3 linked regions of the Oryctolagus cuniculus genome follow. The protein of the gene in region 2 purifies or fractionates together with the protein of the main gene of each other region. This does not show direct contact. Links are inferred from orthologs where the notes say so. Each region holds a gene or a part of one and is shown on either strand. Other genes may lie near its edges.

What was found.
Region 1: the proteins of PPME1 (region 2) and PPP2CB purify together in Homo sapiens (affinity purification with mass spectrometry; 6 studies listed by BioGRID and IntAct, counting the BioPlex papers as one, with this or other methods). This does not show direct contact. The link is inferred for Oryctolagus cuniculus from reciprocal best matches to the Homo sapiens genes PPME1 and PPP2CB.
Region 3: the proteins of PPME1 (region 2) and PPP4R2 purify together in Homo sapiens (affinity purification with mass spectrometry; 3 studies listed by BioGRID and IntAct, counting the BioPlex papers as one, with this or other methods). This does not show direct contact. The link is inferred for Oryctolagus cuniculus from reciprocal best matches to the Homo sapiens genes PPME1 and PPP4R2.

Annotation. Positions count from the first base shown.
Region 1 is NC_091433.1:80,834,227-80,837,879, forward strand, and holds part of PPP2CB (serine/threonine-protein phosphatase 2A catalytic subunit beta isoform), read right to left. Parts: intron 2,829-3,653; coding exon 2,619-2,828; intron 1,479-2,618; coding exon 1,305-1,478; intron 1-1,304.
Region 2 is NC_091432.1:65,501,733-65,505,384, reverse strand, and holds part of PPME1 (protein phosphatase methylesterase 1), read right to left. Parts: exon of another isoform or gene 2,653-3,652; coding exon 2,588-2,652; intron 1,994-2,587; coding exon 1,926-1,993; intron 124-1,925; coding exon 105-123; 3' UTR 1-104. UniProt on the Homo sapiens protein: Demethylates proteins that have been reversibly carboxymethylated. Demethylates PPP2CB (in vitro) and PPP2CA. Binding to PPP2CA displaces the manganese ion and inactivates the enzyme.
Region 3 is NC_091441.1:76,202,929-76,206,581, forward strand, and holds part of PPP4R2 (serine/threonine-protein phosphatase 4 regulatory subunit 2), read right to left. Parts: intron 2,059-3,653; coding exon 1,888-2,058; intron 1-1,887. UniProt on the Homo sapiens protein: Regulatory subunit of serine/threonine-protein phosphatase 4 (PP4). May regulate the activity of PPP4C at centrosomal microtubule organizing centers.

The sequences.
Region 1 (3,653 bases), on a different chromosome or scaffold from region 2:
GCCTGGACCAGCCTCAGCTGTTGTGGCCATTTGGGGACTGAACCAGTAGATGAAGAAAAAAATTGGAGAAGGTCATAACCAAATTACATTCACATCAGCAGTACAAGAGTACCATACACTTGACAACACCGCGCATTTATAATTGAGTTTTATCACCATGTTTTACATTTAAACTAAAGTAAGTTCATGCTTACAGCAATAATAGAATATTTGTATATTTCTTCTTACACATTTGAATGTTTTAGAGTATGTGCCAATACTTGTCACAGGTAGAAACAAAGCATTCATTTAGGGAAGAAGGTATAAGACACATAATACAATTACCATAAAAATAGGAATAAAAAACTTTAATGGTAACTAGTAGATACTGAATCTGTGTGGACCTTGTTTCAAAAAAACATCTTGCTTGAGCAGTATTGTACGTTGGGGTCTTCAAAATTTACTTATAATTTTTAAAGTATATTAGCATGTTCTTTGGCCAACACATTTATATAAGATCTGAGAATCACAGGAAAATGTTTTAAATATGCATAAAACTTATCCAACTGGAACTGGCACCATGGCACAGTGGGTTAAAGCCCTGGCCTGAAGTGCCGGCATCCCATATAGGTGCCAGTTCTAGTCCCGGCTGCTCCTCTTCCAATCCAGCTCTCTGCTATGGCCTGGGAATGCAGCAGAGGATGGCCCAAGTCCTTGGGCCCAGCACCCACGTGGGAGACCTGGCAGAAGCTCCTGGCATCTAACTGGCGCAGCTCTCCGTTGCGGCCATCTGGGAAGTGAACCAGTGGATGGGAGACTCTCTCTCTCTGCCTCTCCTTCTCTGTGTAACTCTTTCAAATAAATAAAATAAATCTTAAAAAAAAAAAAAAAAAAACTTATCCAATTATCTGCTCTGGAAAAAAATTTTTTTTCTTAAGGTTTATTTATTTTAAAGGAGAGATATCTTCCTATCAGCAGGTTCAGTCCCCCAAGGCCATCCACCCAAGGTTACCACACGGGTAGCAGGAACCCAAGTATTGAGGCCATCATTTGCTGCCTTCTAGGTGCACTAGCAAGAAACTGGATCAGGAAAGTGGAGTAGCCAGGACTTGAACCAGGCTTTCCAATACAGGATGCAGTCATCCCAAATGGTAGCTTAACCTGCTACACCACAATGCCTGCTCATAAAATTGTAAGTATAAGAGAGGCAGGAAGGCCAAAGAAATCTAGACACAGATGTCATGTAAGTCTAGCCCCTGTTAATAGTCTAATTTCCCCCCTATTGTAAGCCCTCCATTGCAAGATGTAAGCACACAGATACATACCTGTCCATCTACCAAAGCTGTAAGTGGAAGATAATCAAATAGGTCTGTAAAATATTTCCACACATTGGCATTTCCATACTTCCGTAGACATTCATCATAAAAGCCATATACTTGGGTAATTTGTCGGCTTTCATGATTTCCTCTCAATATTGTAATGCGTTCTGGATAACGCACCTGAAGCAAAGGAAAAGAAATCCACAGAATATTTTTAATATCATGTTATCTGAACACATTAACTTCCAACCCATTTCTTCAAATGGTTCTTGTGTCCACCAGTAAATTTAACGTAATTTTTTTTCACAGTAAAAATATTTGTCATTCCTAACTAGGTCTTATTAACCTTTGAAATAATTTTACTGTCCTTCATTATGAGTATCATTAGAATCTTAGTTTGTATCTTAGCATCTGTTTCAGTCATCATCTTTATTATCTATCACTAGTCTTGGACATCTTTTCAGAATACTATTAATTCTTCACTGCTGAATGGTTACTGTTTAGCTGTAGTTTGAACCTGAGATAAAGTCTTCTAGAGGCTAAGTTCTTGTTCTTTTTCAACTTAAGTATTGCCAAATCTGGTTCAAGTGGATTTTTAAGGCTCATTTCCATGACAGGACAAAAAAAAAATGTATCTCATATACATTCGTGCTTAGTAAGCATCCACTATGTATGCAACACTGAGCTCAGCACTATGAAGCTCAGTGCCAGGTCTGCTGTTTACGGGCCTGATCTCAGGAAGGAGATGTATGAGGTTAAGATTTCAGAAATAGACCACTATGGCAAATTCAGAGTATGGAGGGCCAGGCAAGGAGTTTGAGTTAGGCAACACGAGTATCTGTAGGTTTGGGAGCACGGAAGTAGTAAGATACAAGAGTGACTTGATTTGGCAGCATATACAAGGTGGACTTGCAAAGATGAGATCTTGCAGGTAGAAATATTAGTTACCAAGTTAATGCAGTAATTGAAGTGTGAAGTATTAGATTGTGTCATGAAATAAAAACTTAGGAATAACAGAACTTTCAAGGCAAGAAATAAAGACCTGTTTAGTGATTCAATATGAAGAATATGTGCTTAAGTCAAATATGATTCAAAGATTTCAGCTATGGAATACCCAAAAGAATGGCAGTAGACTGGACAAGTTTAGTGTATTATTTTCACCTCTCTCTATAAAAGTCATAAAACTAATTATTATTTTAAGGAGCTATAAACTGAATTAACCCTAAGATAGTAGAGATGACATTTAATACTGTCATTTTTGCCTTTTGCCTGGTTTAAAAACAGCTTGAAAAAAAGAAAACTGAATTATACTGATCATACCTTTAATGCTACAAGAAGAGTCACAGTCTCCACTGAGTAATAACCTCTGTCCACATAGTCTCCCATGAATAGATAGTTTGTATCTGGTGATTTCCCACCAATTCTAAAGAGTTCCATAAGGTCATGGAATTGACCATGCACATCTCCACAGACGGTAACAGGACAACGAACCTCTTGCACATTGGATTCTTTTGTTAAAATTTCCTTAGCCTGTTAAAAAATGAAATAAACAATTTAAAAAATATTCTATCACAAACTTAAAAGTGTTATTTCTTATCTACTAAAACACTTGTGAAGTTTTTCTTATGAAAGTATAAAAAGAGAACCACAATAAGATACTGATAGCTTTAATAAAGTAAGTGTTCCAAGGATGCAGAGAAATCAGATCCCTCATATGCTACTGATGGGAACGTAAAATGGTGCAAGCCACTGGAACTAACAATCTGGTAGTTCCTCCAGAAGTAAACCCCGAGGTGCTGTGGCACAGGTTAAGCTGCTGTTGCAGAATGCCTGGTATGACTCCTGGCTACTCAACTTCCAGCCCAGCTTTCACCTGCCCCCTTCTAAGAATTTTTTTTAAAAGTTAAACATAGGGGCAAGCTTAGTGGTTAAGATGGTCATTTTCTGTGTTGGAGTGCTTGGGTTGAATTCCTAGCTCTGGCTCTTGGGTTCCTGCCAGCCATGTGGAAGACCTGGATTGAGTTCCTGGTTCTTCTCTTGGGCCTGGTCTACCCCAGTCCTAGTTGTTGCAGACATCTGGGGAGTGATCCAGCTGATGGGAGCACTCTCTGTCTCTTAAAAGTTAAAGAGTTATTGTATCACCCAAAAATTCCATTCCTAAGTATATACCTAGGAAAAAGTATATACCTAAGAACTTTTGTTCAATGAGAACATTACTTGTAATGGCCAAAAAAGCAGAATCCACCCAAATGCCTACCAACTAATGAGTAAATAAAATGTAGTATATTCAAACATGGAATATTCCTCAACAATAAAGAAATGAAGTACTGACCCATGCTACAATTTTGAAAACAT
Region 2 (3,652 bases):
CGTGGCCGGGCAGGATGGTGAGGAGACAGCGGCATCACAGTGGCCTCTGGTGCGATGTATTTACAACAGAGCTCGATGCTGAGGGAGGGGTGGTGAGCAGGTCACTAACAGCCAGGAAACACACTGTGAAGAGCAAGAGAGGGATGAAAATGTAACCAATCACCAGCTTTCCCCTGCTTCCCCAGGCTCCTTTGGCCAACCCTCCCTAATGACCACCAAGGCCCCTGAAGATCTGTCCCACCTCCTCACAGGCCCATCTGGGACCAAATTTCTACTCTGAGTGCATGTTCCAAATAGCCCAGAGACCTCTAACACTGTTTAAAAGAAATTAGGGGAGGGTATTAGGAGAGGGTTGTAGTGTTTAAGGTGCTATTTGAGGGGAAGGCTTTGTGGTACAGTAGGTTAAGCCACTGCCTGCAATGCCCATATCCCATAAGAACACTGGTTTGAGTCCCAGCTGCTCCACTTCTGATGCAGCTCCCTGCTAACACACCTGGGACTGCAATGGAGGATGGCCCAAATACTTGAGACTCCTTCCACCAACATGGGAGACCCAGATGGAATACCAGGCTCCTTGACTTTGGTCCGGCCCAGTCCTGGCCATTGCAGCCATTGGGGGAGTGGAACCAGAGAATGAAAGATCTCTCTATCCATCTAACTCTGCCTTTCAAATAAATCAATCCTCCCCAAAAAGGATGTTATTTGAGATATGTGCATCCCGTATCACAGTACCTGGGTTCAAGTCCCAGCTCTCTCCTAATTCCAGCTTCCTGTTAATGCATGCATTGGGAGACAAGAGGTGCTAGGTGGAGTACTTGCAGTCCCTGTCACCCATGTGGGAGACCCAGTTGGAGTTCCCAGCTCTTGACTTCAGCCTGGCCCAGCTTCAGCTATTGTAGGCATTTGGGGAATGAATCAGCAAATGGGAGATCTCTGTATCTATTTTTACTAGGTTGAATTTCAAATAAGTAAAAATTTTAAAAAGAGAAACTAAGTCGTCTTTGCTGACTGTGGGCCCCATCAATGGTTAGCTGCTAGAGGAATGGTTCAACATGAGGGTGTCATTCCTATGGCTCACAGCTCCAAGCTCTTATCCTGTTGTCACTCTCGCCTCCAACTCACGGCATTCAGAGTTCTTGTTCAAACTTTCTGAAGGAGGGAACAGGTTCCCCTGAACTCTGAAAATCAGAAGGATTTCAAATGGCAGATGTGACTCATCAGACCGTGGACTTTGAGGACCCAGGGCCTTCCTCAGCACAGACAAGTAGGCTTGAGGGGGGGCAAGAACCTGCTGGGTTAACACAGAGCCCAACTGTGTCTCCCTAAGCAGCTGAAGAGCTTCCTAGGGGGAGAGGCCTGCACTCCCTGCTTCTGCAGACCAGTGGTTCTTAACTGGGAGCAGCTTTGCCTGCCTGGAGACAGCTGTGGTTTGCAGAACCATGTGTGGAAGGTGCTGCTGCTATCGAATGGGTAGAGAACAGGGACACTGCTGAACATCCTACCATGTGCAGAAGAGGCCCCGATAGCAAAACAACAACCCATCTCAAAACGGCGGCCATGCTGAGGCTGAGAAAGCTGCTCTAGGGTCCTGTGGGATCTCTGGGTCCAGCCAGCCTTGCTCAGCAGCAGGGCAGAAGGCACAGAGGCTGATTCCCATCTCAGCCTCCTCGAAAAGGGGGTACCTCAAGAAGAAATGCACATCGCGGTGAGGGGCTGGGAGACCAGGCATGATGAAATCGCACCTTAGCAACAACCCACAGGACCAGAGCACAGAGAAGTAACTAAGCACAGCTTTGCCGAAATACACATGCCAGCCTCTCTGTGGAGGAAGAGGAAGGTGACCCACATAGGCAGGGCTTTGTGAGGCAAATATCTGTTTGTTGGGTTGGGCAGCGCTCATGGAGATCTTACACCCTTGTACTTACCACTGGAACCCTCCGATGGGCTCTGCGAACCTGTGCCGGATCAAGAAAGTGGCAACAGCTTCAGCTACCTGAAAAGGGAGAGATTCCGGGCCATATGAAGGTTTGTGATGGTGCTTACCCTTGGAGTCTTGAGAGCTTCTGTTGGAAAATTAAGCTATGTAATGCCCTCCTGAGTCCCACAAGTCTGGGTAGCTTGAAACCAAAAGGACCTGGGTCCTGGCAGGGCTAGCAAACTCCCATCATCCTTCAGGGAATGCCAGCAAGCTCAAGAGGAATGGGACTTATTTATCCCCTTTGAGTTATGAAGCTCCTTTTTCCCACAGGAGTAGTTCATGTTCATTCCTATTTGTGACTAGGTTAGGGAACAGTTTCTACCCTCAACCATCCCTTCTTCCACCTGGCTTTTGGGAGCAACACAGCTTAAGATCTCAATCATAGGGCCCTGAGAGGAAATGCAAAGGACACAACAGGTCCTCAGCCCCACCCACAAAGTCAAGCCCACAGGCAGCTGCTAGAGCCATGTTTGGGAAGCTGGTGGCTGCAGGTGCCTGGATTTCCCTGCAGCTGCAGGCATCCCAGGCTAATACTCAGAGGCTTGTCCTATCTCCTGGGCCATCCAAAGTCGCTCTCACAGTTGTCCTGTCGTGAAGCACCAAACTCACCTTGTCAGGGGCATCCTCATGGACTGCATGGCCACACTGGGGCAGGACCTGCATCTGGAACTTCCCTGGAGAGGAAATAAAGCCAGGCAACCTCAGGCACTCATACCGCCCTCCCTTACTACCTCTGCAGCCTCTCAGGTCACTCCAGGAGCCCAAGATGGCCCCATTTCAACCCCAGCCCCAACTCCATACTGATTACCTACCGCCTCTTTGATGAAGATGGTAACACTGTAACCCTCAATCATTTCCCTTCACTTTTCCTTTTGTGCCTACTTAGTGTACAGTGACCTTGGGGTAAGAAACACAGAAGAGCCTGGTGTTGTGGCATAGCCAGTAAAGCAAGCACTTGTGATGCCTGTGGGCACTGGGTCTTGTCCCAGCTGCGCCACTTCCAATCCAGCTCCCTGATAATGACCTTGGGAAGGCAGCACAAGATGACCCAAGTACCTGGGCCCCTGCCACCCACATAGGAGACCCAGGTAAATCTCCTAGCACCTGGCCTTTGTGGCCATCTAGGGAGTGAACCAGCAGATGTAGGCTTGCTCACTCGCACTCACTCTCCCTCTTTCAAATAAATAAACCCTTTAAAAAAAAAAAAAGACACATAGAAGACAAATCCTCTGATCCTCAAGGAATTAACAGACCAGAAGGGAGTAAGACACAAAACCAACATTTTCATGCAGCATGTAATTCCTGTGATAAAACTGGGTAGGGTTGCAAGAGCAGAGGGAAAGAGCTTCACAATCCAGTAGGAAGCCAGAAGGCTTCCTCCATAGAAAAAATGGCCTAACACAGAAGAGAGCAGCACTGGGATGGTATTTACTGCTGGAATTAAAAGCAGCTGAGCATGCTGCTTGGGCAGGTGGTTACTTAATGGTGAGGCTGGAGAGCTAAGCCAGGACCATCTCATGAAATTTCTCAGCTGTATAAAGGATTTTGAAATTTCTTCTTAAGATAGCAAGTTACTGCTTGAGTATTTGTTTCAGGTACTGTGCTAAGTACTTCCTGACAATGTCTTAGGGGGCACTGTCAGCACACAACTACTGTGAACGTTATGTAGAGGGA
Region 3 (3,653 bases), on a different chromosome or scaffold from region 2:
GGAAAATACAACAACTACACAATATGATTCTACTTATTTTCTATGACATTTAGGGACCTTTCTAAAAATATGAGAATTATCAGTTTTGTATTTAAAAGATAACCTATTACAAATGGGGGAGGGATGTACTAGAAAGAATACCCCTAAACTGGATAACAAACAAAATGCTATACCTCTTATATTAAAAACTAATTTATGCATAATCAAAACACAAAAACAAAATTGAAAAAGACTGCAAACATGCTCAACACACCAATATTTGATAATATAGACCAAAAAAGTAAATTTAAACTGGAAGATACTAATCTTTCACTGATTAAGATTTAGATTCTGCCTGATTAAGGAAACTTGATTCAGAAACAGCCATCCTGAAAAATCTAATTTAAAATATTTAAGTTCAAAATATTTATGGTGTAATGATAAAACTTTTTAAAAGCAATTAGGCATTTAATGACTGCTTACATCATTCTCTAAAGTAGATAAATTACCTGATTTACAGATTAAGAAATTATATATATTCAGACTTACTTAATAACTTACATTATCTGCATCTATTCCAAATTAATTTGAAAGATGTAAAAAATATATTCCTTATTACTAATTCAGACTCACAATTAGCTTATTATTTACAAAGCAAAGGTTATATTTTGCCTAGTTTCACCCTCTTATTTTTAAATGGCACCTATCACCTATAATTTACTGAAATAAAAGGTTAGTCATCATAATGTCAAAGTCTGATTTATGTATGTGTACACTATTTGGAAATATTCCCAAGAGATCTAGTCTCAGCTGGACCATACTCAGTTTCTTCATGAACATTATAAAACATGCTTCTAATACATAGAATGTGGATGCTTCTGGGAATGTACTTTTTAAAAAAAATGTCTTAACTAATATTAGTAAGGAAAGATATGCATATGGTTAAATAATTTCAACAGCACAATACCCTACACAGGAAAAACAAATCTCCTTCCCATTCTAGACCTCCAGGTCACTATAATGGACTGACTTCAAGGAAAAAGCTACAATTTCTCCCCAAAAAATGTATTCTGGTAATAGAACCAGAAGCCAAAGCCTAAGGATGTATTTTAAGCAAAATTCCTAAACTCAGACAAGTAGAAACTATAATAACAAAGGGTTAACCACATTATCTAAATCCTGTTTTTAAACCCCTTCAAATAAAATCTGTCTAAATATTAACTCATGGATAATATTCCCAAATTCACAATATACGAGACTGCAATTCTACACCCCAAATCGTTAAATGGCAAACTAAACAATATACTTCACAAACAAATCTTCCCTTAGGAAACTCTAAAAGTATAAAGTCCTAAAAATATATAATTTAAATGAGAGAATGAGACACGACTATGTTCTTATTTTAGGGCACAGTATCTTTTTGTTGTTTTCAAGTGTTTTACAAAGAGCTAAAAATGGTTACTTGTTGGTGGGGGTTGAAGACAAATCCCTCCCAAAATTTCTAAATAAAAACTTACTAAATAATACTTTCATAAATCATTTTCCATTTTAAAATAAATATAACTTCTCTCAATGATACAGAATCTATACAAAGTCTGATTTATAATAGCAAATATAAAATGATACAGGAAAAAAAACCATAAAAATATTTCCTGACAATGAACACTTCTACTTTTGTACCCACTTAAAGTCTGAAAGCCACTGGAGTTCATAAAATGGTTTAAGTTTTTTTTTAAGGCTGTGAATACTTTAAACACATACAAGCTAAAAATCATAAGTGCTGTATGTCACTAGAGACACAGAACTTACTCTGATAATGAATTTCAAACAACCAGACATGGCAAAACTTAAGATAAATCTATGATGTCTCATAAAACTTAAATATTTGAAAGAGTGTTAAGTGCATACCCATTAAATCCAGTGACAATTTTCAGTATTCTTTCCTTCATTTCATCAAAGGGAATATACTCGACATTAGGGTTGGGAGGACCTCTTGGTTCAGGAGCTGAAGTTCTGAAATCATCCATCACTTTCTCCAGTTTGAAAATAAAATAGCCTTTAAATTGGGACCACTGAATCCTACAAGCAAAAAATTGGAAAAATATAATACCATGAAGCTTTACAATTCTTGAATACAAAGTACAAATATACTATACAATGTCACTAATGCTAACAAAATTAAGACCAGAATAAGTAGCAGAGAGAATGTCTGTTCAGTAGCACCCATCATGCACGATCAGTACGACTCACCAAGCTCCAATGGGATTCTACCCAAACCCCCAACTCCTCTGATCCAAACAAAATCCAAATCTCTATTAAAATCTTTACAATGCACTGTCAGTCTGCAAGCCAGGATGCTGGAATTGATTGAGTATTTTTTAAAGATTTATTTATTTGAAAGAATTACAACAGTGGGAGAAAGAGAGAGATATCCTCCATGTACGGGTTCACTCCCTAAACGGCCGCAAGGGCCAGGGCTGGGCCAGGCTGAAGCCAGGAGCCAGGAACTTCATCCAGTTCTCCCATGTGGGTGCGGGGGCCCCAACAGTTGGGCCATCTTCACTGATTTCTCAGGCACATTAGCAGAGAGCTGGGTAAGTGGAGCAGCCGGTATTTGAACTGGCACCCACATGGATACTGGTGCTGCAGATGGCGCCTTAACACCACAGCATCACCTATTTCATTTCAACTCTGCCCCTTATAACAAAGCTAACTAGAGCGGTGTTACTGCTCCACTTAACCATGCCAGAAATAAATTTTTGCACTTAAGCCTCAATAACCAAGCTATAATGCTTACATGGTACAAGTAACATTTCTTGTCTTTTAACTGTCAAACAGCAAAATCAACTTTAATCTGTTTCCTCACTTCTTTCAACTAATATTTTCAGGTTATCAGTTAAGACATGGGTTTATCCAACCAACACTGCACAGTAAAAACAGTTTCTGGGCCAGTGTTGTGGCATACCAGGCTGGGCTGCCACCTACGATGTCGACATCCCACTGGGGGTTTGTGTCCCAGCTGTTCCACTTCTAACCCAGCTCCTTGCTTATGTGCCTGAGAAGGCAGTGGAAGATGGCCAGAGTGCTTGGGTCCCTGCCACCCATGTAGGAGACCCAAAAGTAGTTCTTGGTCTTGGTTTCAGCCCGGCCCACCACTGGCCATTGTGAACTTTAGGGGACTGAACCAGTGGATGGAAGATCTGTCTCTCTCTACAATTCTGACTTTCAAATAAATTTTTTTTTAAAAAGTTGGTTTTAAAGGGAAGGAATCTGGATCTATGCATATCTTTATATTAAAAACGTGTATATAGTTTATACACTTTTCATATCTATTCACTGATTAAATAAACATCTTTCTAGCCATCTTGCCTTACATTTCACCACTAACATAGGAAGAAATTTTGTGATACCTTCCCAAATAGTCTAAATCCCAGGAGATCCAAGAGTCAGAATGTCAACCAACTCTGGAGGCAGGCAGTACTACCATCAGTAGTGGCATAAACAGAATGACTACTTTAACAAAATTATACAAAATTAGAGGAATGTTAATTTGCAATCACCCTTCCATCACATCCAGCACCTTCAGAGGGCAACCCCACAGGGCAGCAGTTTTCAAGCTGTGGTCCAAAACTAAAAGCTTTTTCATGCTGTTGACAACAGAACTGATGGTACAA